Linked DNA regions of Pelodiscus sinensis. The protein of the gene in region 4 interacts with the protein of the main gene of each other region in a biochemical or structural test. Links are inferred from orthologs where the notes say so. Each region holds a gene or a part of one and is shown on either strand. Other genes may lie near its edges.

Region 1 (7,072 bases), on a different chromosome or scaffold from region 4:
GAGAGGTGAGAATAGGTGTGGGGATGTCGTTTGTATTTCAGCCTGCCAAATAGTCTGGCAGCCTCTATCCTTTGGACAGTAAGTAATCTTCTTCCCCCTCCCAGGCTTACAGAAGTAGCTGCCCTAGATTTTGTTATCGAAACCACCCTCTTTCCCTGTTACTGATATTGTTGCCCTTCTTCATGTTAAGTGCTTAAAGTCACAGCACCAAAGTGCTGTTAGAAAAATTTGTTTAAAAAAAAAATCTATACAAAAATCCAATGATATAAAAACTACTGCTACTATCACAGACTGAACACATCAGCCAAGTTTATCAGGAATAACACTTAACTAAGAGCTAATGCTAAATACCTGCACTCTATAGGCCTCCAACCCCCCCATTTCTGGGATCTAGTGGCAAATTAGAGATCATATAGGTTATCAGGCTCAAGAGTAAAGGAATCACAAGAGCATCAAGTTGAGCTATCAAGGAATATTAGGGTACATCTACACAGCAGGGCTAAAGTTGAATTAAGCTATGCAACTTAAGCTATGCAATTGATGTAGCAGAAGTCGAAATAACTTAAATCGGCTTTTGGCACGGTTTACACAGCAGGAAGTCTAAGGAAGAACACTCTTCCTTCAACTTCCCTTACTCCTCATAAAATGAGGGTTACAGGAGTTGGAATAAGAAGTCCTCCAGCTTGCCATTATTTCAAATAATGGCTTGCAGTGTAGACACACTTTGTTATTCCAAAATAATGTCAGTTATTCTGAAATAACGCTGCTGCGTAGACATACCCTTACTGATACACATATACCCCTACTATCCCAGCATCTTTAAACAAACTTACGAAGGTTGAGCTCTAACTCAATATTAACTATGAATAAATTATTAGAATAAAAAAATACTGCATAACTTGAACTTTCCAACAAGTTTCTAACATTATTTGCACTGGAATTAGATTGTGTCTGTCAACACAAATGAAGAACTGTACTGTCTTTGTAACTCTTTTCCCCCTATGATACCGATATGTAGTTGCCTACTGCATGTTGCCTTTCATCTGAAGAATTATAAATGCTCTTCACAGACCATTACTTAAGCCTTACAGTACACTTGAGTTTAAAAAAACAAAACAAAAACAGAGCCAAGATCAGATCTCATGACTCTCAGCTCTATGAGTTAGCCAAGAGACCATCCTTCCACTATTCTTAAGTACCTGGAAAGTGAGTGATCAGACACCCAGCAAAGCCTTTATTAGAGTTAAGGTGCACAAACGTTCAACATTAGCCCACGTCAAATATTAACAACTACTAACAATGTATTAAATGTTTAACATGGAGATTCTAAACTAGATACTAGAAAGTTATATTTAGAAAATAGACATCACCTGACCATTTTCCTCATCTGACCATTCTCTTCAATAGTACTGGCTTAACCTGAAGTTCTTACTTAAGAGCAAAATATCGAGTATTGCAATATGGTAACTCATTGGCAATTTTCACTTTTGTTACAACTTACACCATACCCTAAAGGGAGAATAATTAATTTAGAAGAATATTCTGCAAAACAGCTATGTTGCCATAGGTACCCATTTGTTTTATAAAACATAGCATTAATAGTTTTAGCTATATTATATAAAGAAACCCAAAGTATTCCTTTCAATAATAGTAATAGGAAAGAAACGGTCTTTTCAACTAATGTTTGCTTCAACATCGTTTACACAAGTTACTCCAACATTGTTATTAATATTACTTATAACAGTGTCTACATAACCTAAACAATAGGAGTGATTGGGACACATTTGCAGCTTCCATGATTAATTTAAATACACACGTGATATATATGGAATACTAAAAACCTGCATGGGTTAGGTCAGCATTTTCAAATAATGAAAAGAAGACTAACTTCACCCACATGTACTTTCTAACATACACTATGAAGATGTATATACACACATCATTTAGCATTAGATGATTGCAAAATATGTTTAAAAGAATACCTTTCTAGTGTGTGTTTATGAGCCAGCTGGCAGCCACCCTTCACTCTAGGTGGTTGGTTATTGTTCATTAATGATGTGGATAATTTATAGAAAGACATTTTAGCATCCTTGAACATAGAACTACCAACATAATATCATCATTTCCACAGATACAGATACGATGACTTAATCAGTAATCCTCTTGGGGCTAGAGAACTATGCTTCTTTTACGCTGCTCAAATAGTAGGAGAATCATATACATAAAAGATGAAAAAGCACATTGGAGTGAAATGTTACATTACAACACCACAAAACTAAATCCTCCCACCCTTTATCTAACATAAATACCACACGATCTCTTCTTTCACTGCTGACTCCGATAACTTCCAACAGTTCCAGAGGAAGCGTCTGTTTAAAGTCTAACCCTGAAACCGCTGCACCCATACCGCTGAGAGAGGTGCGTGGCGGGGGTACGGTATGCGGAGGAACTACTTGTTATCAGGGCAGTAGCGTGAGTACCTGTTAGAGGAGCTTCAGGGTAGAGAACCCTGTAACCCTCCACCCACTCAGACGGCAAAGGGATGGACATAGGACCCTCCCCACCAGCCCGGTCCATCCTTTAAGAGATGCGGATACACTCCGCCCCACCAGCACCCCGTAAGCGGCACAGAGACCCCGCAGCTTCCTCCCGCTCTCTCTCTCGGGGGGCAGGGACCCCACAGCCTCCCCCTCAGGGGGCAAAGACCCTCCCCCCCACGCAGGGGCTGGAGAGTCTGGTTTATGAGCCGGGGCACTTAGGATGATGCTTTTTCCCAGCCCTATTATCTCCCTACACGGCCCCCCTACCCCTCCTGGCCCCCCACAGCCCAGCACAGGCAAAGCCTCCCTGAAACGGACGGGAAGTGAGAAGGTCCAATTCACTCACCCTCGGCAGCTCCCAACCAGACTCAGCTTCGACCCCCTCCCTCCTCTGCATCACTTCCGGGGGTGAAGCGTCAGCTGGATGCGTGAGGCGTCGTCACGCAGAAGAGCGTCCCGGCGTGCCCGACGCTGCACGTACAGTGAGGGAAAAAGCGGGCAAGAAACCGCTCCCGCCCCCAACCGGGTTGAGTGGCGACTGGAGTAGGTTGGAGCGAACCATTACGCAAGGAAAGGGGGGAAACTGTGAGGAGGGCTGTAGGGCGCTTGGCCCTGAAGGTAAAGAGGGAGAGGCAGATAGAGGGGAAAGAGGTCGATGTTGGTATGCAAAGATGACCTAAACTGGGATTTGGAGGACTCGTGTTGCCACCTCCCCCGGCTCTCACATTGGTACAGTCCAGCTTGTAGGCGAGTAGCCGGTGGTGGCGGTGCTGCCCTGACCGTCCGGGGGCGCTGAGGGGGCCGCCCTGGCGCAGGGCTGGGCGCCGCCTCTTTGCAAGTGTCACATCAAGGGCTCGCTCCGGCCCTGCTCGCTGCTGCAGGTTCCCCCCCCCCCCCCGCAGCCAGGAAAGTTGGGCAGCCGCCCCGCGAGCTCCGAGCAGTCCCGCGCCGCGCCCCTCACCGCAGAGCGGGCCCCTCGCCTGCCAGCGGGTCCCCGGGGCAGCGAGCACCCGGTGCTTAGAGACTCCCATCCTGGCAACGCAGGGCTCCTGCAGCCACGGGCAGGCTTCCCGCGAACATCCCCCTGGGGATTCGTCCCAGCCCAGGGCTCGTGGTCCCACCCTGTGAACCTGGGCGCTTGCCCCTGGAGGGTCCCCACACTACACAGGGCCTCCTTTTCCTCTTTGGTCCCGGCTGCGGCCCTCAGCACATCCCCTGCGGGCAACTTCCCGGCCTGGATACACCTACACCCATGTAGGGCTGCCAGGTGTCCGGTTTTGAACCAGACAGTCCAGTATTTGAGCTTTCTGTTCCGGGAAACAAATTGAGAAAATGTAAATGTCCGGTATTTTCTAAATAAGAAGCAATGACAAGCGTGTCTGGTATTTTTGTTGAAACCATCTGGCAGCCCTACCACTGAGTCATACTTCCAGTCAGGGTCCCAGAAAGTAGTTCTTGGGCCAGCTCTGCTCTTCCGTGAAAATGAAAGTGGGAATCCCCCTCCCCCTTTGAAACATTAGAATTGAATGCATATATTTAATCTTTTAAAACATTCTCAAGTGCTGTGGCTCTTTTATTGTGGGCCATGAGCCAACAGTAGTCTCTAGAGCACGTGATTGCATGTGGAATGAAACATTTTGAAAACCAACAGTGAGGGATGGGAGAGGAGGTAGAGCATGACAGAATCTCACTTACTAAAATGAGCCACAAAGTTAAAAACAGCCCTATGCCTTGCTGTACTGCATTAATATTTATACCTATTCTTGTGTTTAGGAACTGTTCCAGTGTTGGGAAATCTACATTATTTTTTTTCATGTGTTCAGTTGCATTTGGCTTAGAGCCAAGAAGCAAATAAGGTGCAAAATCCATACTTCATGTTAACATCATATTTGTAGATGCCTCTATTGTATAAGAAAGTTGAGATTTTATTACCTGGGCTAAATTTGCCACACAACATTAAAACTCTCTTCTCTGAGCATGAAGACCCAAACAGAGTAGGAGAGGAGGAAAATATTAACAGTCCAGAAAACAAGCCTATGCTCTTTTTGTATTGGTAGCAAAGTTAAATCAATATTGGCCTTGACTGCTTATGGTCATTGAATGTTTTCAGTGTCCAGAGAGGGTTAAGAAATATTTGAAGCAATAAGAGTCCTTCCCTTATAATAGCCCAAATAAGGATTTTACTCTTCAGTCTTTCACTTATTATTAGAAAACGTAAGTTAGGATGCAGGACCATATGTGCTGCTTAAACTAGGCAAAGCATTCACAATCCTGTGCTAGCAAACTCAAAACTATTTTACTGTATAGAATTAGCCATGGACTAGATCTTTTCCATTTATTCACATGTAATGCTGCATCAAAGCCATGTCACAATGTGGTTACTGCCACATGTGTGGAGAATCAGTTCTTGGTTCTTTCCATGTGAATGAACTTATATGGAAAGCCAGTGATAAAATCTAAGCCATTGATTTACAAATTGAACTGTCTTCTTGCTTTCAGTATTCATTATACTTTCTGGTCGATACTTTACTCAATACTTAAATGAAAATTAAAGAAACAAAAGTTTGATCTTGGAGGACTCAATGTTGCATGTGGCCCTCTCTTCACTTACCCCTTAGAATTCCCACTAAAGTCAATGGGAATTCCAAGTGCATTGAGTGTGTGAGTAGCTCAGAGGTGTTGAGTACCAACTGGGTTAACAGTTGTTTTAAAGCTGAAACTTCTGTAACAGAATTCGAAACCAGGCAAAACTCCCCTTGTTCCAACTTTCATTACAGACTGGTTTCTTGGGCTACTTTTACTGAAAAAGCACACATTTATGATTGTAGATAGAAACAGTGATAAACTTTTGGGTCATTTCATCTCTGGAGTAACTCCACTGAAGTCAACAGAGTTATACCATTGATAAAAAAAAAAATGGGATTACAGTAGGGGTGGATTTAGGCCTTTGGTTTTATTTCATTTTCACTTTATTTTGCTAAGTGGTCTTTCACTATTCTTGGCAGCTTTGAATTTTACTATAGATTTGGAGGTTAACAAAGCAAAAAATTGTATCCACAGCTGAAGGAGTAAGACCTTTCAAAAGTGAAAATCCATGCGAGTTGCCAGCTAAATGTATTGTGTATACCTAACTGATGCAGTCATTTGCAGTGTAGCTATTCTACAGTGTTCATAATGCAAAAAATTGGAGGGGAGGCGCTAAATCTGTTTAATTTGTGTGAGATGGAACGTAGGAAGTGAATGTTGGATTCTAAGATTTTAATATAATTGGAGAATGTCATCTTTTTAGCCATCCCAAGAATCCTTGATCTCTCCTCATGACACCACCTCACAGGAGCCAGCTTTTGCAGCTGTTGACCCTTATGGAAATTATGAGCCCAGTTCAATCCTTATATAAATCCAGGATCTTCATTTCAATATGCTTACACCAGGGATGGATTTGTTTGAGTGACTTAGTTACTATGGATAGCTGTGAAACTGAGTGAATGATTTCATGTCACATTTGCCAGCTGGAGAGAAACTGGCTCTGTGTTAGCTAAGTGTTATCAGTGTTCTCTAAAATAAAAAAAGCTTGATATAAAATGCAAGCATTGTAGTGAGCAATAGCCCAAGAATGGTATTAGAATTACAGTGGTACAACACACTATTGCATTCAAACTGGATAGAAATAGTATTGTATAGGTGGTTGAAATAAGTTATTTTCATAATAGGCATTGTCAAATAATGTATCCTATTCAGAACTCCTTGCCAGTAGCAAACAGTCAAATAGCTGATGATGTGAAAGAGGAGCTATGCTGCACTTCAGTGTCAACATTATATTTGATTGCATCACAGTTGCTGTTTTAAACTGTTCCCTACAGAGTTTTATTCCCCTGTCAAACAAATATGGTGTCAGCACCTAATCAAGTTTGTGCAGTATTAATGAGCATCCAAGTTAAAAAGGATGTAGAAGAGATCGATTGGTAATGTTTCTATTTTCCCTTATTAAAATTCTACTTTTCTTAAAATCCTAGGTATATGTTGATAGTAGGGATGTCAACGTGTAGATTACTACACGATTAACTGATAACAGGATTAACCAAGAAGCCCAGGTTTGACTACATGCATTTCCCCCATCTGCTGCCTCTATATTAGAGAGGAGGGGAGGTGGGAGCCAGTGTCTCTCCCCTCCCTGCCATGCTGCTGCCTCTAATAGAGAGGCAGCAGCACAGAGGATGAGGGGAGCAGGCAGGAACCAATATGTGCAGGGAGTCAGCTTATAAGCAGCTCTCCATGTGAGCCTGCTTCACATATGTGCCTGTCCCCCCCTTGCTGCCTCCTACAGAGGCAGTGTGGGGCAGAGGAAGGGAGGCAGGAGCTGTTGCCATCTTCCTGCCCTGCGCTACTGCCTCTAATGGGATGAGGGAGGGAGGGATGGGAAGCTTCTGCAGCAGCAGCCTCTATTTGTGGGGAGCTTTGCCCCCTCCTTCCTACCGCCCCACAGACAGGGGCTGCTGCCTCTAATAGAGGGGCAGGAGCACAGGAGGCTGAGA
Region 2 (6,851 bases), on a different chromosome or scaffold from region 4:
AGAAAAAGTGATGACAAATTTGGCTTGGGCAGGTCAATTAGTCACGATCATCCGTGATGTAAACAAAACCAAAAATCTACAGAACCAAGATAGGGAGAAACAATATATAGTGTTTACAAAATGCCCTTCAGCAATTATGACAATCAGGGTCAAAAAGCAAAAGAACCTGCAATATATTTGGCATGTTTCTAAAAGAAACAGGTTACAGTCAAAGTCACTGAGCAACTCAGTGCATAAAAACCAACCAAAAAGGCTGAATGGATTTTAAAACATAGCAAAATTATGTGAATTTATTAAATTTCCAACTTTTAATGTTCAGCTTTAAATCTGAACCAATTTCCTGCAAACGTGGCTTAAGTTTCAGTTCTCACTGAAAATTTAATCTATCCAAATGCAAACAATAGCTGAGAGCATTACCCACATGCACTTGCCTGAAATACAAACAGGTTTATTTCAAGTGGGCTTCCAATAAAAAGTCATGTCTGGGTTTAAATAGATCAGAAAATTTAAGGACTAAATGAATTAGCGTGACAAAACTGAGTAAATGAGAAATACCATACACGAAGCTAGAACAGAATCATAACCATGGCACACATTTCTGATTTACTATCAATCAACAGTACAATACATTAGTAATAGAAAAAAAACAAAATTTTGGAATGCTTACCTGGGTGTGTGAGACAACTCTACATGAACTCTCTTTAATAGCCATCAAGTTGGAAGTATTGCATAAAACTTGATAAACAGATTAACTGCCATATCTATTGTTTATACTTAAACTATGTAACCAACTGATATTCCCTTTTTTTTTAATTCCCCCCCCCTTCATGTTTACTCTTATTTACAATCTTGATCAGAACCAGATCTCACTGTTTTATATTACAGAGGGCAAGCCTACCATGCAAAATTAAGCTGATCTAAGTTAATGTACAGCAACCACAGTAATTATTGTATATACTTGTTTGGAAGCCAACTTTTTTTGGTGTGTCAAAGACTTCCAACACCAGATTGATTCTTGACTGATTGGTAACAATCTGGAGTTAGGAAATCCACCATATAGGTTGCTATGACAAGCACGTAGAATCATTAATCGCATCCTGATACAAAGGACTGTATGATGGACATAGATAGTTTTGCAGCAATGGGGTTTCTCAACTACAGTAGGGTAATAGCTGGCATGCATATTCTTATTTTGGCACCAGACCACCTTGCCACAGAAGTACATTAACAAGGCTACTCCTGAAAGCACTGGTGGATGTTTTACTAAGATCAACACAGGCTACTTAGGGAAGATGCATGATGCACACATCTTTTAGAACACAGGCCTGTTAAGAAAGCTACAAGCAGGGACTCTTTTTCCTGACCAGATTATTACCACTGGGGACACTGACATGTGATCCTAGGAGACTCAGCCTAGCCCTTACTCCCATGGCTCATGGAGCCATACACTGTCCACTGGGGCCATCTTCCACAGGCAGTAGTGATTTGAACTGCTCTCTCACTCCCAGGGGTAACAGAGGATGAAGAGGAACTGCTCCTGAATGTCTTCAGCGGCAGATCAAGCCCATATGCTATTAACCTATGTGGAAGAATAGTTTCTGCTGGAGTAATTGCAAAGAGGCATGGGAAAGTGTCCTATAGAGGTGGAAGAAGCAAGGCAGTCCTCCTTAGGGGACTGAAGAATACCTCCAAGCAAGTTGCCTTGAGATCTCTTTGGCAGATTCATGGGATAACCCAGTGCACAGAAAAATGGTTCTTCAGGAGCCCCCTCTTCCTAACTCTACATGGGAGTAAGAAACAGATAGGGTCCTATCAATTGGTTATTTCACTATCAGCTTCACAGCCATGCAATATACACCATGGACCATGAAATCTGGCCTTCTGTGTGCTTTCACCACATACTATACATATTTCATGGGGGACAGTAGTGGTATGGTCATGCCTAGCTGTGCTCTGCAACCCTGCTTCCCCCCCCCCACCTGTATGGGCAAACCAAAGCCCTGCCTGCACTTGGCACCCCTGTACTCTACTACCCCAGGGAGCGTCGCCCCTCAGGGGCAAACCCCAATCAACACTCCCCCTTCCCGCAAAGGGCAGCACGCTGGTCACACGCTGCCCTCCTGCCTCCTACCCCAACAGAGCTATTTCTTCCCGAGATAACTCTGCCCTGGTCTCCCACATCCCTGCGGGGAACACGTCCCTGGCGGCGCTCCCCGCGCAAGGTGCCTAGACCGACCCCCGAGCGGAGCCCCAGGCGGCAACTCGCACTTACCCAAGCTGGGAGAGAGGGCAGCGAGTTGGAGCGCGTTGCACGCCGGGAGTTGTAGTCCCCGCCGGCGCTGAGCCCATCAGCGTTGTGCAGCAGGAGAGACTCCCGCTCCCACAATGCACCGGGCTCGTTCCCCTTCGCAGCCCCTTTCTCCCGCACCGGGCTGACACGAAACCCGTTAAGTTACCCGAGGGGGAACGTGCCGCAAGGCGGCGCGCGCTGGGCTCTCCACCCCACACACCTGGGTCCAGAGAGGGACCCTGCGGGGCCGGCGCCGGACTCGAGGCTCCTGTGCGCGACTGGAGAAACTGCGTCACAGGCTCTGTCAGCGCCCGCGGCACCCGCGGGGTCCCCACTAACCTCCCCGGCCGATCCCGCTGCGGCTCCGGGGTGCAGGGCGCCCCGCCAGATATCCCCGCAAATGCCCCCACAGGCCCCACGCCGCCCTCGTCCCGCAGGCTTCCCGCCTCGGGCACCGGGCAGAGCCCCTAGGACGGGCTGCGGGAGACCCCTGAGCCTGCTCGCGGCGGGAAGCCCGGCCCAGCCGCTACTCACTGACAGCGGCGGCATCCGAGTGCATTTTCGTGCAGCGCACACACCGCCCGGCCGGGCTCCCTCTGTCTCTGTCTCCCAATCACAGAGCCAAGGCACGAGCCCTCCTGCCCCGCCCACACGTGCACGCCATTGGCTCGGGCTCGCGTGACTAACGCCCGCCTCACTGCGCCATTAGGGCACGCGCCCGTCATTCTTCCTCTGCCGGGCCCACACTGCTCGGCCCGCCTACCTCCTTCCTCTTATTGGTTAAAGGTCTCAACGAGCACCGCCTCCCCGACATATTGATTCGGTCTTGCTTACGTCTATTATTCCAGGCTCTGAAAGCGCGTGCAAAGAACACTACTTTGTGTCTCCCGGGAAGCTTATTGGTCCTGAAGGGTTGGACCACGCCCATGGCCTGTTTTGATTGGTTAACGAGAACGGAGTTCTGACTAGCGGCTCTCAGTGGGTGGGGCTGGAGCAATGGGGCGGGGTAGGCGGGCGGGGGATGTGGAGTGGGCCACGGAGCTTTTCACACCTAGCCTGGCCCCGCGGGGCGCTGCGCGCAGATTTTTTGCGAGAGGTTGTTGAGAACCGATCTCCCTGCAGCCCAGGGAAAGGCTGCAAGGGAAGAACAGGCTTTCATTGTAGCTGCAGAGGCAAAGGATGGGCTGGGACAGCAGAACTTGCTGGGATGACCACATGGCCCCTTTTAAAAGTCCCAGCTTTTTTTCTCAAAGGGAGATGTTTGTCCTTTTTCTCTCAATGGCGTGCTGAGCTAGTGAGAGCAAACAGGATAAATACCCACTTTTGTTTAAAAAAAAGTGGCAAAGTGGGGTTTAGAGGAACATGGGGAAGGTGCCAGTTCCGATTCAGGGGGGAGGTACAGCTGGGAAGACAGTGGTTCAGCATGGGGGAAGGCCATAGTTCCAGAAAAGGCAACAGTTTCCTGAGGGCGGGATCCTCAAATTCCCCCCACAGGCAGGATTCCATGACACCCTCAGGAGGGGAGAAGGGAGTGCTTCTCAAGAACAGCTGGGGAGGCCTGTTTTCTCTTTTGGAAATATGGTCAACCTAGAACTAGCTGATGCTTCAAAAAGTTACTACTTGTGACATGAGAGTAAATTTATCATAGACCAAACACTCAACAACTTGATATTTAGCAATTGGGAAAAAAAAATAATGAAGAACAATAGAGGGCAGAAGCTATAATTGAGAACAGAATGAAGGCTTTAACACTCAATTAAAGTTTTATGTCCGATAATTCCAAAAAAGAACTGCAAAGAACAATTCCACTGCCTGAGAAAAAAGCAAGAAGACAGGACCAGTGCAGGGGAAGGTTGTTCATTTGTTATTCTTGACTTTGCATCCATACAGCAGGCATGCTCAAGAATGGCATATAAACTTAGGAGGCAAGACCCCACTATGAAGTCCTGTCTTGGGCTAGATGAGGTGAGTTATTGTACATATGTCTGATAGAAATCTGTCCTTTCCACTCTGGCAATACTTATTGTCATACCAATAAAGTATCTGGAAATAAATGAAGAGCCAGAGCATGACTGGTCCCAACACAAGAGTGATGAGTTTTATCTAAAGTAAGTGTCTGGTGGATAGAACAGTAGCTATACTACTGCCAGCAAGATTGCTAGTTATAATATCAGAGACACATAACACTAAATGGACCTGAAGACTGAACAACCCGCACATCTGCAAGCCAGAGCTGACTTTTGGTCAAATAGCACATTAAGCAAGCCAAATTTTCAGATGTAAAATAAAATTTGAAGTACTGCAATAAATGTATCTCCTTGAATTATTTAGCCACATCTGTAATCCTAGTAATCTATAGGTCAACATTATTAAAGAGACCATCTTTAATCTACACTCCTGAGCAGTGCAGTTATATCCAGCAAATCCTTTATGTACCCAGCACTAGGAAGGTGGAGGTAAGTGTCTTTGATAAACTGCAGTGGTCTATATGTACACAAGTCCATATGAGATAGAAGATTCTAGATAGGGCCAGTTCTACAAATTGAACTGCGTAGTTCCCTTGGGTGTCATCTGCAGGAGATGCTATCCTGTTAGTCTCTGCTTTTTAGAGGGAGAAGAGACATTCCTGCTTGAAGAACTTCCTGTATACAATATTTCCTTATATAATACAATTGTAGCTTTTTTGTTGACAGTGGGTTGTTTTGGATTAGTTTTCTTTTGTGTGTGTGTGTGTGTGTGTGTTTTTATAATAAATCTAATAGTAAAAATGAGTCCTATGGTATCTTGACCTTAATAGATTTATTTGGGCTTAAGCTTTTGTGAGCAAAAATCCACTTGGTCAGATGCATGGATATGGTTTTTGTCCACTAAAGCTTATGCCCAAATAAAACTGTTAAGATACCACAGGATTCCTCATTGTTTTTGCGGATACAGACTTAGCCCTGGCCTACACTAGGGAGTTATTTTGAAATAACCTCCCTCCCCATCTTTCAAAATAATAAGTGGAGCATCCACACTACCAACCCTGTTATTTTGAAATAACAGGCTGGTTATTTTGAAATCTGTGCTCCTACTTTCCTTGGGAATAAGCTTATTTGGAAATAGTTATTTCAGGAGTTATTTCAAATTTAGTTATTTTGAAATAATTTCCCAGTGTAGGCATGCCCTAACATGGCTAGCCCTCTGGTACTCTAACACAATAAGTATATGAAATATGTCAGGGAAGGAAGTCCTTGGGTTACAGCAGGAGTGGGCAAAAGAGCCTCCACGGGCCAGATCTGACCCGCCAACCGGGTGGATCCAGCCCGCGGGACTTTGCTGCTCCCCCGCCCCCAGGCCAATTAGAGCCTTGGAATGGGGGAGCTCACGAAGCCTCTTCCTGTCCTACTAGGAGCGCACAGCGCTTTGAAGCACTGTGCGCTGTTCGCAGGGCATGAGGGAAAGCAGAGGAGGCTTTGCACGCTCCCCCGCCCCCAGGTCCTAATTGGCCTAGAGGCAGAGGAGCAAGAGAAGTCTCCTCCCACGCCAGGGGCATGGGCACCTTGGGGGAACGTGGGGTAGGGGCAAAGGCACTCTCTCACCACCAGACCAATAATTGTCTGGGGGTGGGGAACACAGAAATATCTTGGCCCCGTCCCTTCCACTCAATGCCCTACCCCTTCCGCTCAATGCCCTGCCCCTTCCTGTGCAGCCCAGGGCCACTTCAAAAATTTCCAAAGTGGCCCCCGGCAAAAAATTATTGCCCGCTTCTGGGCTAGAGGAATGCCTTTCATTTGTCTCATGAAACATCATTCAGATTTAGTTGACTTATAAACTGTCAAAAATCTCAATTTTCCTTTTCCTGATGTATTCTGTGAGAAAATTCTGGCAGCTTACCAAAATGATACCCTCACCACAACCCCCAAACATGCTAAAAAATCAGGCAAATTGCAAAGCAGGCATAAGTAGTGTATCAGGAATACCTGAAAACCGACAAAACAGCCAGGATTGCTCTTCCATTCTTCTAACTAAATTCCAACACATGGATCTAGAAGTATATTCCTGCCATCCCAAGGGCAACATATAGGGAAGGAGTTTCCCATTTCTAGGCATGGAGGAGGGGAGAGAAAGGCAGCCAGCAGTCCAAATGCCTGCCGCCCATCTAAACTCCCAGTACATGATGCAAGTGGCGTAACAGCTTTCTGCTACCAGCTAATGTAGTCAGTCCTGTAGCTCAAGTGGAAGAAGGCAGCCACAATACTGGAGGTTCTGGATGTAAGCGAGCTATGGAGGGAGGGGGAACTGCCTCTACCATAAAAGTATTTGGGTGAAAAATTCTTAGGAAATTAAGAAAAAATCTATGTTACAGAAAAATTAGTTTATAGCAGACACAAAAGGGAGGAAACACCAGATTTCTGATTGACCATGCAATCTTAATTTTGGTCCCTTGTGTATATGCATTATGATATAACCTTTAATTACACAATCATACACTAAGTTTCTCACAAGATCCTCACCTCAGGTGCACACCCTGGCTCACAAAACAGTAGATAAAGTTGCACATGCAATACAGATTAAGTTT
Region 3 (7,677 bases), on a different chromosome or scaffold from region 4:
CAGTAGTTCATAATCATAGGAAAACAAATTGCAAGTCACAAAGCAACATGATGTAAACAGATGTCCTTTTTGTTTTGATTCAGCTCAAGTATCTCAACAACAAAGTAGAATATAGTAACAAAAGGCATAATAGCTATAGTTATAGTTATTCAAATCTGATGCATCCACAAACAAGTTTCAAATGAAACAAGTAGTAACATGTTTGTTAATAGTACTGAAGAGACAAAGCTCCAAAAGTAATTTTTAGAATAAAACCCACACATTTTAACCCACTGTCTGGGTTATTTATTAATAAAACTGAAAGTATTATTGACCAGGTGGGAAATTCCCTCCATATAGTTTAAAGGGTTTTACACTCAAACAAGTCACAGAAGTTATTCTATTAACAAAACATGTAGCATCCCTCCAAATGCTTTGAATTATGAAGGTCAATTCATGCAAGTTACAAGCTACTTGATACAGTATTTGTTTAAAAAATGCAAAATTCATAATATCTGCTCAGAATAATTTTTACTGAGATTATGGACAGTATTGTGTGTCTTACACAACAATCCTCAGCTCCTTCTGAAATCAATAGAAATATTCCACATTTGTTTTTAGAAACAATCATTAATAAATCTGTGAGCATGTATTTATCATATACACATATAAAACTATCAAATACTTATGTATTTTAAACATTTTAAACTTTTCTTTAGTTTCATGAAAGCTTATTTTATCTTTCTTAAAAAACTCACAAAGCCTAAATTCTAAACTACTAGGAGAGGAGATCCAAAAAAACCCCTAAACTATATATATTTCCCCTCTGAAACATATATTTGATCACCCTGTTTCCTAGAATTATTATTTGAGATCAGCTAGCTCTGCACTAGGGACATACATGGGTAACCAGTTACCCAGTAAGAATTATCCTTTGGAATGCAGTAATTATTGGGTGATGCTGGCCAGTAACCCGTTAACTGGTGCCTAGCTGAGCTGGAGTGGGTCTGGCTGGGCCCACTGTGCTGTGGGGCTAGGAGCCAGTTACTCCATGGTTAACCGTGTAACCAATAGAATTTTGATCTGTCACACATTTTGTGGGGGTTTTTTTTTTCATCTTTTTACATCCCCTCTCTGCACTTTATAAAAGAAAATGAGTTTTAATGCTGGCTGACTGCAGGTTTTTATGATTGATTGCATTGTAACTAAGAACCAAATTAGGTTTATCATTAAAATTTACCTAGTGCTATATTCTTATCAATCTATGATATTTTATATCCCAGCAAAAAAAATTATGTTAAATTCATGCAGTACAATAGCATTATGGTTGTTTCAGTCTAAGAGAGCCTATAGTGGATACACCTGTTGCCTTTCACAACCTGGACTAGACCTTATTCATCAGTAGGTCATGATGTAATTTTAGAAATAGAAATCACATATTTCTCTTAAAGAAAAGATGCCAATGCCTTTATAAAATATTTAATTCAGCTCCTTAAGGGTATAACAATATTTAACGTGTAAGGGTATAATATACCCACCACATCTTGTGACCAAACAAATTTTAAAGTGCACTATGTGATTTACTTAAGGAAAGCACATTAGATGACAGTGCCTGAAAGAGATCAAACAGGTAGTTGATTTATTTCCTTATGTATATTTTCCAGCAAGTGAACCTTGCCATTGCAGAAAAAAGCAAATTCATTATTAATCAGGGCTAACAAAATATAAACTATTAAGACAGGGACAGATTTACCACTAGAAAAACTGACATGCAGAAAACATAAATTCTCTAAATAGATCTAGCAAAACCAGACTTTTTTAAGGGGGGAGCGGAGAGGAAAGATGCTATGAACGGGCAGGACATTTGGAGACTGCCAAAGAGGGATACTCCCTAGCAGGAGCTGTCCATTGCCCTATGGCATGCATACACCAGGACACTCATATGCATGGGTTAAGGGACCAATAACGTGCAAATGCAAAACACAATGGGAGACACGTAAAGCTGATTTAAGAAAAATGCCAAAAAAGCAGTTCAGTGGTGTCTGGACTTCTGACTTCATGTACCACCCATTTGACAACCCCAACTGGGAAAAAAAAACAACAGGAACAGGAGAAAGAAGCTTAAGAAATACAAATGCTAGATTGTGGGGTAAGGAAATCTGCAGGAGGAAGTGGTGAGAATTGAAGGACGATTGCTAAGAAACAGGGTCTGGATAGAAATAAAGCGGAAGAGAAAAAGGAAAGAAAAATTCTCAACTTTACCCAGCTCTCTCTAACTCAGCCCCTAGAATTACTGTGGATTTCAACAAGCTGCAGCCTCCTCAAAAACGACACCACAGAGATAAAAGCCTTTAACCCAGCCGCAATGTTTCCCCCTGGGGGAAGGCAGAAGACCCTCTACAGCCTCGCGCCCCCAGGACCTCGGTCCCAGCTGCAGCCCGAGAAGAGAATCACCTTGGCGGAGCCTCCCATGGGCTGCGGAGTTGGGAGCCCCCACCGAGCCCCCAAACACTCTCCCCGCCCCCCCACTAGGGAAGGGAGACAAACCCAGCCCCCCCCTCGGGCTCTGATCCCCATCTCCTTCCGGGCCCCCGCCCCCAGGAGCGCCGACCCTTGGCCAGCCCCCCAGATCCTACGCCCCCCCCCCCCGCCCCTGCGCTCCCCACCGGTCCCGCGCACCCCGCAGGGGGCGGGGGGCCTGGCCCCTCTCTCGTGCCCACCCAGCCCCTCTCTGCCGTGCGCAGCGCCTCAACCCCCCCCCCCCCCCCCGCCCAGGCGTGGGCGCGCGCGGGGGGAAAGCCCCGCCCCCCTCCGCTACCTGTGAGCCGGATTTTGATGCTGGAGCCGTTTCTTCGGGTCCCTGGATTCGACATCGCTCCCCGCGAAGAAGGGCGGGGGGGAGGGGAGAGAAATCAGCCGCCCTCCACAGTCACCCCCATCCGGGCCCTGCCCCTCCCCGCCCCGGCCTGGGCTGCCCCGCTCCTGCCGCCGCCCCACACAGCGGCCCCGCCACAGCGTCTCAGCCGCCGCCGCTCGCGAGCTCGACGCCCAGCCCGACCCGGACGAGGACTGCGCGCACGCGCCGCCCCCAACCGCAGGCTCGCGCCTCCCTGCGCGAGAAGACGGCGTGACGCAAAGCGCGGCGGCCTGAGTCCGCCGCCATCTTGGGGAGGTCGCCGGGCGGCGCCCGGCCCGGGACGGGCAGCGCCCCCTCGCGGAGGGCATGAATAGTGCAGCCAGAGGCGAGCAGGTTGGTTCTTCCCCGGGATGAAACTTCAGGGTGGCCACAGGGAAACTGAGGCCTGCGCTGCGCCCTGCCCGCTGTGGCTGCGCAGCAAGTGCCCCATCCTCCTGTCCCCGGCCCTGCACCCCCATGGTCACACATCATGGGTCCTCTGGCATTGAGCCACATTGTACTGTTCATGGCATTGTCACCTGGGACTGAGTCGCTGGACTCCATGTGTCCCTCCCTCCATTGCCTAGGGCTTAGTTTGAGGTAGGGCTCAGTGGTTAGAGCAGGGACTATGTAAAGCAAAGGCTATGGGTTCAATGTTCACTGGGCCCCCTGTAGTCATCTTTAGCTGGGCTTGTTGTCCTTCAGTGAAGAGGTGCTTGGCTGTTACCTCTGATATAGATCGTTTAATAGGCAGCTGGTATAAAACAAGCGAAAGGGAGTATTTTTAAGGGTGAATTGCTGGCCTACAGGTATGATTCTTGCTTCCTCACCATGGATCATCACCTTGTAGTGGTGGAGATGCTTGCATGTTCCAGTGACCCCCCGAAAGTGACCCTGCCTGGAGTCATGTACTCCCTTAGGATCACCCATGACAGAAAGAACAAGGTTCCAGACAACATGTGAGCCAAGATGTCTTCAACGGCAGAGGTGACGGAGGATAACTGCACAATGGAGTTGAAACTGTTGTGTAATGTTACAGCGGCTGGGTAGGTGGATGAAGGCAGCAGCAGATAGAAGACCTCCAAAAGGTGGTCTCCGTGCCATTGTTTTCAAGACCTCTCCCTGTCAAGGAAAGTGTGATGACTGTTGTGCACCAGTCTCCCCACTTTAAAAAAAAGTCCCACACTGGCATCTTCCAGTTTGTGGGAAAACAACACCTGCACCAAGTCAAAAGTCCAGTGGCGATCAGCGAATGGCGATCAGAACAGGACAGTGAGATCCAGAAGTTCCTAGTCACAGATCGACACACAGGCGGTGGGTGTGCGACTCTGTCCTCTTGCTCGAGGACAGAGGCAAGTTGAGCATTTTGGCAGCTGCACCTATGACTGAGCAGTCCTCTTTAAGACTCATTCTGCTCACCCCACATAGGGAGAGGGCTAGAAAAGTGCACTAAAAATAGTCTTGCCTTTTTCCCTCCTGACTGGATAGCTGCAGGATTACCACTCTAGTGGTCAAAAATATAAGAAACTTTTCAATTTTGGAACCCTGGTGGACAACTCAGACAGTGCACCGACTAGAGCAACATACAGCTATCATTGCTTGTGAATTTAATCCGTTTAACATCGATATTGCTGCCTTTTCCAAAATTATAAGAGCTGGTGAAGGACAGGCGAGGGAGGAGAAAGAATACATCTACTTCTGGAGGGAAAATATTTAGCTGAACCTCAATTGCATGGAGTAGGCTTTGCTATAAAAACCAAGCTTGTAAGATGCATCTCTGAGCTGCCAGTAGGCATCAATGAGGAGCTTATGACAGTCTAACTGAGGGCTCACCAAAAACCAACAGGTAACTATTGTGAGCACCTATGTTTCAACAATGGATGCTGATGAGGATGTAAAGGAAGATTTCTACTCTCAACAGGAAACATTTTATCAGAGACCCCCTAAAGAAGGTAAGATCATTCTCCCAGGGGATTTTAATGCACATGTTGGACGAGACTCAGACCTGTGGAAAGGAACAACCGGGAAAGAAGTTGGCAAAAAGAACTCAAATGGAATCCTGCTCCTGACCAAGTGTGCAGAACACGAATTTATCATCACAAATATCCTTTTTTGACAAAAGGACAAGTTCAAAACAGTTTGGAGACACCCACATTCAAAGCTCTGGCATTTTCTGAACTATGTCTTACTTTGTGCTCAGGATCACAGTAACGTACTTCTCACAAGAGCAATGACAAATGCTAATGACTGCTGAACTGATCATCGCCTCATTTGATCCACAATGAAAATTAAGATCGTCCCCAAACAGAGACTGCAAAAGAAGCAGATGAGGCACAAGCTGAAGATTCAAGATCTGAAGGACCCCATTAAGCGTGACCACTTCCAAGCAGTCTAAGAAGAAAAGCTTCCATCAGAGTTTCTGAAAGAAACTGAGGAACATTAGAGCCAGCTGAAAGCAGCAATCATCAATAGCTGTGCAGAAACCATAGGCAACCACACCAGACAGCATCAGGACTGGTTTGATGAGAATGATGTTGAAATCGAGCAACTCATCAATGAGAAGAGAATGATATAAATTGCAGTTCAAGAGAGAAGCCCATGCTAAGATGAGGGAGGAAGTCCAATGTAAAATCAGAGACCTCAAGAACAAATGGCGGACTGAGAAAATGCAAGAATTCCAACATACACGTGGTTTCTTTACACTGAGGGTATGTCTACACTACCCTCCTAGTTCGAACTAGGAGGGTAATGTATGCATACCGCACTTGCTAATGAAGCCCGGGATTTGAATTTCCCGGGCTTCATTAGCATAAGCGGGGAGCCGCCATTTTTAAATCCCCGCTGCTTCGAACCCCGTGTAGCGCGGCTACACGGGGCTCGAACTAGGTAGTTCGGACTAGGGTGCCTATTCCGAACTACCGGTACACCTCGTTTCATGAGGAGTACCGGTAGTTCGGAATAGGACCCTAGTCCGAACTACCTAGTTCGAGCCCCGTGTAGCCGCGCTACACGGGGTTCGAAGCAGCGGGGATTTAAAAATGGCGGCTCCCCGCTTATGCTAATGAAGCCCGGGAAATTCAAATCCCGGGCTTCATTAGCAAGTGCGGTATGCATACATTACCCCGCTAGTTCGAACTAGCGGGGTAGTGTAGACATACCCTAAGGCTGTTTATGGGCCAGCTTGTCATGACATGAATCCCCTTCTCTTTAAGAATGGAACCGCACTTTTGCAGGACAATGAAGTCATTAATTTTCATTGGAAAGAACATTTTGAAGATCTTCTTAATCGTAACTCCATGGTTTCAGATCAAGTTCTTGAGCAAATCCCCCAACTACGTTCTAGGAATGAGCTCAGAGACCCTCCCAGTTTGTATGAGGTATATAATGCCATCAAGCAAATGAAGAACAACAAGGCAGCAGGTGCAGATGGCTGATCCCTGCCGAAATCTTTAAAGACAGTGGACCAGAGTTAATTCGGCATCTTAGCCAGCTTATCCTTAAAATCTGGATAAAAGAAGTGATATCCAGTGAAATGAGTGATGCCTTGATTGTTACCCTCTTTAAGAAAGGGAATAGTATGCACTGTGGAAACTCTTGTGGTATCTTTCTCCTTGCTGTTGCAGGCAAAATTCTGGCATGGGTCCTTGCAACCTGTCAGAAGAAATTTTATCAGAGTCATAGAGTGGTTTCTGACTGAGTCGCAGAACTGCAGATATAATCTTCATTGCATGGCAGCTGCAAAAAAAGTATTGGAAGCAAAACATTGCTTTTATTGCTCTTACTAAAGCCTTTGACTCAGTGATTCGCCATGCGTTTTGGACTGTACTTTCAAAGACTGGATGTCCTGATAAATACATCCATGTTCTAAAGTTTCTTCGTAAAAGTGACTGTTCTAAGCAGCACTGGCTCCCAGAGTGAATCTTTCAAAGTACAAACAGGAGTCAAACAGGTCTTTATTGCTGTCATTTTTTCCTAATTGCTGGGAAGCTCCCAGCTGCCATTAAAATCATCTACAGAATTGATGAAAAGCTGTTTAGGCTTAGCAGGCTGAAAAAAAGAGTAAAATTGCCACCACGTCTATTGTGGAACTTCAGTATGCTGATGACCAGGGCTCAAGAAACTGCTGATTCTACTTGCCCTGTGGTGAGTAAATTTCAACTGGTTGCTCTGTGCGCCCCATTTACTGACACCGCACGCACGCGCAGTGAGGGGCTGGCAAGTAGCTCTCGCCGTGGTTTGTCAAGCCCTGCTGATGACAATGCAGTTTTTGCCCCCTCTGAGAAAGATCTCCGCTATCTTGAGCATGTTTGCTGATGCTTATGCATGTCTTGGTCTTGCCTTCAACATCAAGAAGACCAAAGTGCTCCATCAGCCCTCTTCAAATGAGGTACCCTCTGCCCTATCTATTAAAATCAATGGAGAGGCACTGGAGAATGTTGATCATTTTCTCTGCCTTGGAAGTTATCTTTCATTCAAGGAAGATATTGGTGTAGAAATTCAACATCGTCTGAGCTATGCCAGTGTAGCCTTTGCTCATTTATGGCACAGGGTTTTTGAAGATCACGATATTCAAACAAGACACCAAACTTCTTGTCTATCAAGCCATCATTTTGCCAACACTATGGTATGGGTCAAAAACCTGGACAAGGTACACTTGTAAGTCCTTAAGAGGTATCACCAATGCTGCCTCTACAAGAGCTTGAAGATCAAATGGGAAAACAGGTGCACTAACATCAGTGTTCTGTAAGAGGCAAAGACTACCTGTATCAAAACAATGATCATCCGTCAGCAACTTCACTGGA
Region 4 (7,500 bases):
TTTCTTCCCTGGAAAAAGATTTGGCCACTTGGTGCTGGCAATACAGAATGGATTTCAGGGGAAACTGAAATCAGGAAGACTCTTTTTGTCTCTGGGAACTGCAGAGTCAGGATCTGACAGTGGTTTTATTTTACTAGCCAGCCCCCATTATCTACACTCAAAGTGCCTGGTTGGGGAATTAAACTGTGACACACTGACACCCACCTTCCTGGCCTCTGGGGCTCTCCACCACCCTGTTGTGCTGAGCCAGAAATTCTGGTCTTCCCTAGGCAAGGAACAAAGTTGGGGTTACCACCTGCCCTGCAGAGCAAGACAGGCACAGAATTCAGGAGTGCTCAGTTGTAAGGGCTCACCTCCCAGAAAACCAACTTGCAAAAGGGGCCAATCCCTCCCCCCCAAAAAGATCTGTCTGATTTTGTACAGGTTTTATACAGAGAAAGCTCATAAGATCAGCCTTTTTTATCAATGAAAGAGAGAGATGCACAGTGGTTGCTTCCCTCCAGGTAACAATTAGTTACATTGAGCTTGGTAATTAACAAGTGTTTTTGTTAAGTATAAAAAAATAGGCTTTAAGTGGTTGCAAGTGAAAATAGATCAAAGTACATTACTAAATTAAAATGGACAAAAACTGGTTAGCTAGTAAGAAACTTGCTAAGGAACTTGTTACATGCAATTTTTTACCTTAAACAGTTGTTCTTATCTCAAGTAAAGAGCTTCAAGTTGGAGTTGGTGTTTACCTGGCTTGGGTCTTCTACAGCTTTTCAGAGCTTTCTAGGACCAACCGAGGTTTGGACTTACAGGACAAACAAGTCAAACAAAAGGAAGTATTTCTTCACAAAACACATAGTCAACCTGTGGAACTCCTTGCTGGAGGATGTTTTGAAGGCCAAGACTTCATCAGGGTTCAAAAAAGCACTAGATAAATTCATGGAGGATAGGTCCATCAGTGCTTATTAGCCAGGATGGGTAGGAATCGTGTCCCTGGCCTCTGTTTGTCAGACCCTGGGAACGGGTGACAGGGGAGGGATCACTTGAGGGTTTCCTCTTCTGTTCATTCCCTCTGGGGCACCTGGCATTGGCCACTGTCAGAAGACAGAATCTGGGGCTAGATGGATGATTGGTGTGACCAAGTATGGCCATTCTTATGTTTTAAGACTATTCATAGGTCGTTGATTTGATCACAATTAAAATTTCTGGGGCATCAGTAATGGCCTCATTAGCATTATAAACAGAGCCTGACTTCACAGACAAGAACGATACATGCACCAAAACAGGATAAATACACTCCAGGGATTGTAACATTAAAATGGGTAGTTGACACGTGACATTTTGTCTAAAGTGTCTTAGAGTGATGCATATTTGTATTCATAAGCCAGTTTGCATAAGGCATGGGGGAGACACAGCACCCAGTTTAGAATCCCCCATGGGTGTCACTGTGCAAGATTGCCCTCCCTCGATGCACACGCCTGCTTGCGGGGGTTGCCACAACGGGAGACCCTGATGCTGGCCTCGATGTAGCCGGTCCCTGCAAGTCACAAGGGAGCTGGAACATGGGGGCCACACAGCAGAGGAATCAGGCTGAACGGGGGCGCACTCAAGGGGCCAGGAATGGGATACCTTGGACCGTGCCTGAGACTGGAGATCAGGGCCCCAGTGAGGGAGAGCTGAGCAGACTGGCTGGGAGATCAGATTGGGATGGGAGAAGGAAACGCCAGAGATAAACCACATTTTGGCCCCGGTGCGTTTTTTTTTTTTGCTCAACAACTTTAAGCCTAGAGGACCAGCATCTTTTTTCTTACAAAAAAAAAACAACAAAAAACCACTGGATACAAGCAACGTATCTCAAAAAACAATAGTTACCACAGTGAGCAACTGTTTTTTACACAGGGAATATCAGGGTAGTCGGGTATTTTCTTCCTTGCTTTGCTTGAAGCCTTCCCTGGAAAAACCACAGAAGCAAATATTTTCTTAGTCCTTCAGCCAAGGAGCCTGGGGATCTGGAGATTACAGCTTTACAAAGAACAATCAACCGAGATATCTTTTCTCCCTAATGTGGCTCTGGCATTTGAGTTAAATGAAGAAAAACAATCCAAGGGGTCAAACAGCCTAAAACCAAATCAGATGCTGTCTCAGCTAACCACTTTCAGGAAAACCAGGGCAGGGGAGATGCACCTCTCTGGGGTGCACCCAAGTGTCTGACTTATCCAGTGCTCTAGATCAGTGGTCACCAACCAGTAGATCGGGATCTACTGGTAGATCTTGGAGCCTTTGACAAGTGATCCTGACAGGTTTGGTTGGGAGGCTGTTAAGTGCTGGCATCTGTGCTGCTCCTGCTCTCTGCCTTGGGGCTTCCCCACAGGCTTGGGAGCCTCTTGCTTGCTGTGCAAGGCACAAGAAGAAGAGGAGGGGGGATGCTGATGTCAACATCTCCACAGAGCACAGGGGGGCAGGGATGGAGAGAGTTTGCTGGCTGCTTTTGGGAATGGTGCAGGGCCAGGGGAGGGGTGAACCACCCTTAGGCCCCTGCGCCACCACCCAGCAGCCACCTGTGGTAAGCGGTGCCCAGCTGGAGTCTGCATTCCAAACCTTGGGCCCAGTCCTGAACCCCTCCTGCACCCCAAACCTCTGCCCTAGCCCTGAGTCCCCTTGGACCCAAACTCCCTCCCATATCCTGCACCCCAACTCCCTGCCCCAGGCTCAGCTCAGAACCCCCCCTACACTCCAAATCCGTTAGCCCAAGATCAGAGACCACACCCTTGCACCCCAGCCTGATAAAAGAGAGGGAGGGAGGATGGAGTGGGCAGGGGCAGGACCTTGGAGAAGGGGCAGGAAGGAGGCGGGGCAAGAGTGTTTGGGTTTGAGGTGGATCCTGGATTGCACTTAAATTCAAAAAGTGCTCTCATGCTTAAAAAGGTAGGAGACCCCTCTAGATCAGTGTTTCTTAAACTATGTTCCCTGGAACACTGGTATTTTGTGAATAACTCACAGGTGTACCGCCACCTCTTCTTTGTTTTTGTTACTTCTTTGTGTTTGTCTTTTTTTTGTCTGACAACCATTTTTTTTTGAAGAAAATGTGCATACAAAATACTATTGTTTGGTGTTCCGTGGTCTCAAAAAGTTGAAGAGACATTGCTCTAGAGCAACAAAAAACAGACCCAGAAATAAACCAGAAATTCTGCGCCTCACCAGCTGGACACTGGAACCTGGCGGGAGGATTCTAGTGAGTGGCATGTTAAAAAGCAGTGGTTATGGAAGAAGGATTACAAGGGGGAAGGAATTTGATAAACAGCAAAACTTCTTTCTGAGTCACTAACAACTCGGAAGCAACTGGTCTTAAATCCTTATGGATCGGTGGCCTAAGAGGTGGCATGCAAGATGAGCTACTAGTGGGGGCTTTGACCATTTGTTTATTTTTGTGACAGTTTCGCTAAAGATCCATATTTCTTTTAAACTGGTTATAGATTTGTATTTCTTTAAATGTTCAGAGTTGCAGGAAATAATGGTGGGGTGGGGGGTCAGACAATTATATAACATCAGTAGAGGCTGAGAGTCAAAAACTTAACACTTTACAAACTGTTAAAATACGAGGGCTATGTCTACACTAGCGGCGTCTTGCATGAGTAATATGCAAATGAGGCTAAGCATGGAATATTGTGGAGCCTCATTTGCATAGCTAATGAGCCACCATTTTTGCAGAAGAGGCTTTTGCACCAGAAGGAGCCTTGGTGCACGTAACAAAATTTATTCTGCACGTGGATGGAAAAAATTAGAGGGAATATTGGCCAGTAATGAGGAGGAGACAGAAAATATGCCCATTTTTAACGAGAAGTTGGGGCACTTAGAAGGGGAGTTAAAGGGACTGTCCCTTTAAGAACGGGGGACGTCTGGTCACCATGGAGATAATGCTGTTCCATTCTAATTGACAATGCCACCAGAATGTGACACCAGGCAGTCACGTGGGTCTGGCCAGTTGGCGTGAGTTCGGTGACCTTTGACCTCGGCCTTGGTGGTATGGTGGGCAGAAGAGCCCAGTCTCCCCCCCAAGACAGAAGCTATGGGGGTGTATGTCCAGCAACCTGGGGCTGAGGCATGTGTGGGCCCTGGGGAGGGGGAATCTTACAAATTCCTCTCCCAGAGGCGCTGACAACCCTTCCAAACCACAGGCCGGAAGTCATTCTGCCCTCAGTAAAGATGGCGGCCGGTGGACTTCCGCCCTGCGCCATACCCGACCCTCCCCCAGTCCTTTGGAACGCTTGGTCTTTCCCGCACCAAGGAGGCGAGCGTCGGGCGGAAAGAGCCGAGCGCTGGGTGGGCGGGGCCGAGCGGCGTGACGCCACGAGCCGAGCGCTGGGCGGAAAGGGCCGAGCCCTGGCTGGGCGGCAGCGGACGTCTGACGTCACATGCCGAGCGTGCGGCGGAAAGGGCCGAGGCTGGGAGCGGGCGGGGCCACGCGCCGGGACGGAAAGCGGCGCGGTCCAATCCGCCGGCGAGGGGCGCCGCCGAAGCGCTTCCGGAAAGGGCCGAATCCCTTCCGGAAGGAGCCGAGCGGGCCGGCCGTTGCCGACGCGCACCCGCAGCGGCAGCAGCCTGGGCGGCCCCGCTCCGCTTCCCCCGGGCCCGGCCGCAGCGAGCGACTGACCCGGCCCGGCGCCGGGACCCGCACAGGCCGCGCCGAGCCCCGCCCCCGGGCCCGGCCCCTCGGCCCGGCCGCCCGGCAGGATGATCAAGCTGTTCTCGCTCAAGCAGCAGAAGAAGGAGGAGGAGTCGGCCGGCGGCACCAAGGGCAGCAGCAAGAAGGCGTCGGCCGCGCAGCTCCGCATCCAGAAAGGTACCGCCCCCCCAACCCCCCCCCGGCCCCCCCCCGGCCCGGTACCGCCCCCCCCCCGCCGCCCCCGACCCCCCCCCGCCCGGTACCGCCCCGCCCCCCCGACCCCCCCCCTGCCCGGTACCGCCCCTCCCCCCCCGGAACCACCCCCCCCGGCCCGGTACCGCCCCTCCCCCCCCGGAACCTCCCCCCCCGGCCCGGTACCGCCCCTCCCCCCCCGGAACCTCCCCCCCACCGGCCCGGTACCGCCCCTCCCCCCCGGAACCTCCCCCCCACCGGCCCGGTACCGCCCCTCCCCCCCGGGAACCTCCCCCCACCGGCCCGGTACCGCCCCTCCCCCCCGGGAACCTCCCCCCACCGGCCCGGTACCGCCCCTCCCCCCGGCCCCCCCCCTCCCCGAACCTCCCCCCACCGGCCTGGTACCGCCCGCCCCTCCCCCCCTCACTGGACCGGTACCGCTCCTCCCCGCCCGGTACCGCCCGGCCCCTCCCCCCTCGGTACCCCCCGGACCGGTATCGCCCCTCCCCACCGGCCCGGTACTGCCCGGCCCCTCCCCCCTCGGTACCCCCCGGACCGGTATCGCCCCTCCCCACCGGCCCGGTACTGCCCGGCCCCTCCCCCCTCGGTACCCTCCGTCCGTCCGTCCCCCCCCAGACCGGTACTGCCCAGCCCCTCCCCCCATGGTACCCCCCTGGCCCGGTATCGCACAGCTCCTCCTCCCTCAGTACCCTCCCCCGGCCCAGTATCGGCCCCCCCCCCCACCAGACCGGTACCGCCCAGCCCTTCCCACCTCGGTACTCCCCCAGTCTGGTATCGCCCCTCCCCCCCTGGCTCGGTACTGCTCGGGTTCCCCCCCCCCAGCCCGGTACCGGCCCACTCCTTTGCCACTGGCCCGGCACTTCCCAATCCCGCTCCTCTGGCCTGGCCCAACTCCTCCCCCTGGTCTGGTACCTTCCGCCTCCTCTGGCCCAATCCCCTGGCCAGGCCTGGTGCCGCTCCGCTTAGCGCCTTCCCCCACGCCGGCCTGGTACCTCCTGCCCTAACCCTCCCCAGCCTGGCACCACCCAGCCCGACCCTCTCCCCTCTTCAGTCTAACCCCCGCCTGTGCCCGATACCATCCCCAGATGCTTCCCAGCCTGGTACTCCCTGGCTTAGCCCCTTGCCCCACTGCCTGGTACCGCCTGGCCCGCCCCCTTCCGCCTACTGGCCTCACCTAAGTTCCCCCCTTTCCTCGGCCCAGTCCAGATGCTGGTCTCGATCTCCTGGTACCATTGGTCTAGCCCAGGCCCCTCTCTCCTAGTCTGGTATTGGCTGACCTGGTCCAAATGTTGATTGGTATCACCCAGCTGAGACCCTCTGCACTCTGGTACTGACCAGACCCTGATTGGTACCGTCCGGCATCGATCCTCCCCAGCTCAGTGCCACCCAGACCAGACCCTGGGCCTAGATCCCTTCCCATAATGGTACCGCCCAGACCAGATCCCACTCCAGTACCACCGAGATCCTTATGGGTACAGCCCAGCCTACATCCCTGCCACCCTGGTACCACAGAGATCAGACCCTCATTGGTACTGCCCGGCCTAGATCCCCACCCCATTTTGGTATGGCCCAGATCAGAACCTCATTGGTAGCTGGGCCAACCCAGATGCTCTGACCCTGCCTGGTGCTGTCTGCTGAGGCCCAAATCTTGGTACCACAAGTTGCAGTGTTTTGCCCCTCCCCATCTGGCCCAAATTCTCTATCCACCCAGTGTGGTGCCACCCAGTCCCACTGTTGTGTAAATCCAGTTCACTGGTGCCACCTGGTCCACGTTCCTCCAGCACCATCCACCCAGAACCATCCTCTGGTGTGACCAGGATGGGCTCGGAACAGTATAACCAGCTAACCCCCGATCGGTGCTGCCTGTGCGTAGTGCTAGGACCGAGACCTGCCGAGACTCAAGGGAAGCCCCTCTCTGAAAATTACCAGCTGCTCAAAGCCTGGGGCGACCCATGGAGCCCCCACCTTTGCGATAAGGCACCACCTGGCCCAGGCAGATGCCAGCCTCCTTCCTCCGCTCTGTGCCCACAGTCTGCATTGGTGGGAAGAGACGCCTCCCATTCACTGGGAGGATGCCCCCACTTGGACCCCACAGACCCCTCCCAATGGGGGGAGTGCAGTCGGGAAGTTCCCTCTTTGTTGATGCAGACCCCCATGTTCTCCTGCCCTTTAGAGAATCCCTTTGAGCCCCCCTTCCCCACACAGGTACTTGAGATGCCCCTGCAGGAATGGGGCATTTTTCCTCCCCTTCAGGGGCTTCCTGCTCATTCACCCTCACTAGGGCTTTAGCTCCACTTCCCTCCTGGGTGCCACCCCCCATGGAGGTCTTCCCCAACGGGACCTGCACCCTTCCCCACTGAAGGTTCATACAGCCTCTCCAAGACACACCTATAGAAATTGACGCCCCCTCCCATTGGGGAAACTCCAGGAGACACCCCCTGCAGATTGGGGGGCTCCCTGCTGGAGAAACTTCAGGAGACCCCCCTCCCACTCATGCTTTCAGGCTCCCGCACTGTGGAGCGCCAGGAGACCCCTGCTTGTCTTAAGTGTACTGCCATCTAGAGTCCTGCCCCACTGGCCGGCCCCTCCCTCATTCCCATATCTCCAGGGAGTATTCCTTCTCCCATCCCACTGGG

The links.
Region 1: the proteins of UBE2M (region 4) and DCUN1D3 form a complex in vitro, tested with the Homo sapiens proteins (4 studies listed by BioGRID and IntAct). The link is inferred for Pelodiscus sinensis from reciprocal best matches to the Homo sapiens genes UBE2M and DCUN1D3.
Region 2: the proteins of UBE2M (region 4) and DCUN1D4 form a complex in vitro, tested with the Homo sapiens proteins (3 studies listed by BioGRID). The link is inferred for Pelodiscus sinensis from reciprocal best matches to the Homo sapiens genes UBE2M and DCUN1D4.
Region 3: the proteins of UBE2M (region 4) and SMURF1 form a complex in vitro, tested with the Homo sapiens proteins (2 studies listed by BioGRID). The link is inferred for Pelodiscus sinensis from reciprocal best matches to the Homo sapiens genes UBE2M and SMURF1.

Annotation. Positions count from the first base shown.
Region 1 is NC_134726.1:22,096,629-22,103,700, forward strand, and holds the start of DCUN1D3 (DCN1-like protein 3), read right to left. Parts: upstream 3,001-7,072; 5' UTR 2,887-3,000; intron 2,851-2,886; exon of another isoform or gene 1,983-2,850; intron 1-1,982. UniProt on the Homo sapiens protein: Contributes to the neddylation of all cullins by transferring NEDD8 from N-terminally acetylated NEDD8-conjugating E2s enzyme to different cullin C-terminal domain-RBX complexes and may play a role in the cell cycle progression by regulating the SCF ubiquitin E3 ligase complex, after UV damage.
Region 2 is NC_134715.1:86,848,793-86,855,643, forward strand, and holds the start of DCUN1D4 (DCN1-like protein 4), read right to left. Parts: upstream 3,016-6,851; 5' UTR 2,850-3,015; coding exon 2,825-2,849; intron 2,790-2,824; exon of another isoform or gene 2,273-2,789; intron 1-2,272. UniProt on the Homo sapiens protein: Contributes to the neddylation of all cullins by transferring NEDD8 from N-terminally acetylated NEDD8-conjugating E2s enzyme to different cullin C-terminal domain-RBX complexes which are necessary for the activation of cullin-RING E3 ubiquitin ligases (CRLs).
Region 3 is NC_134726.1:31,801,302-31,808,978, forward strand, and holds the start of SMURF1 (E3 ubiquitin-protein ligase SMURF1), read right to left. Parts: upstream 3,005-7,677; 5' UTR 2,853-3,004; coding exon 2,798-2,852; intron 1-2,797. UniProt on the Homo sapiens protein: E3 ubiquitin-protein ligase that acts as a negative regulator of BMP signaling pathway. Mediates ubiquitination and degradation of SMAD1 and SMAD5, 2 receptor-regulated SMADs specific for the BMP pathway.
Region 4 is NW_027465849.1:2,663,805-2,671,304, reverse strand, and holds the start of UBE2M (NEDD8-conjugating enzyme Ubc12), read left to right. Parts: upstream 1-4,481; 5' UTR 4,482-4,719; coding exon 4,720-4,828; intron 4,829-7,500.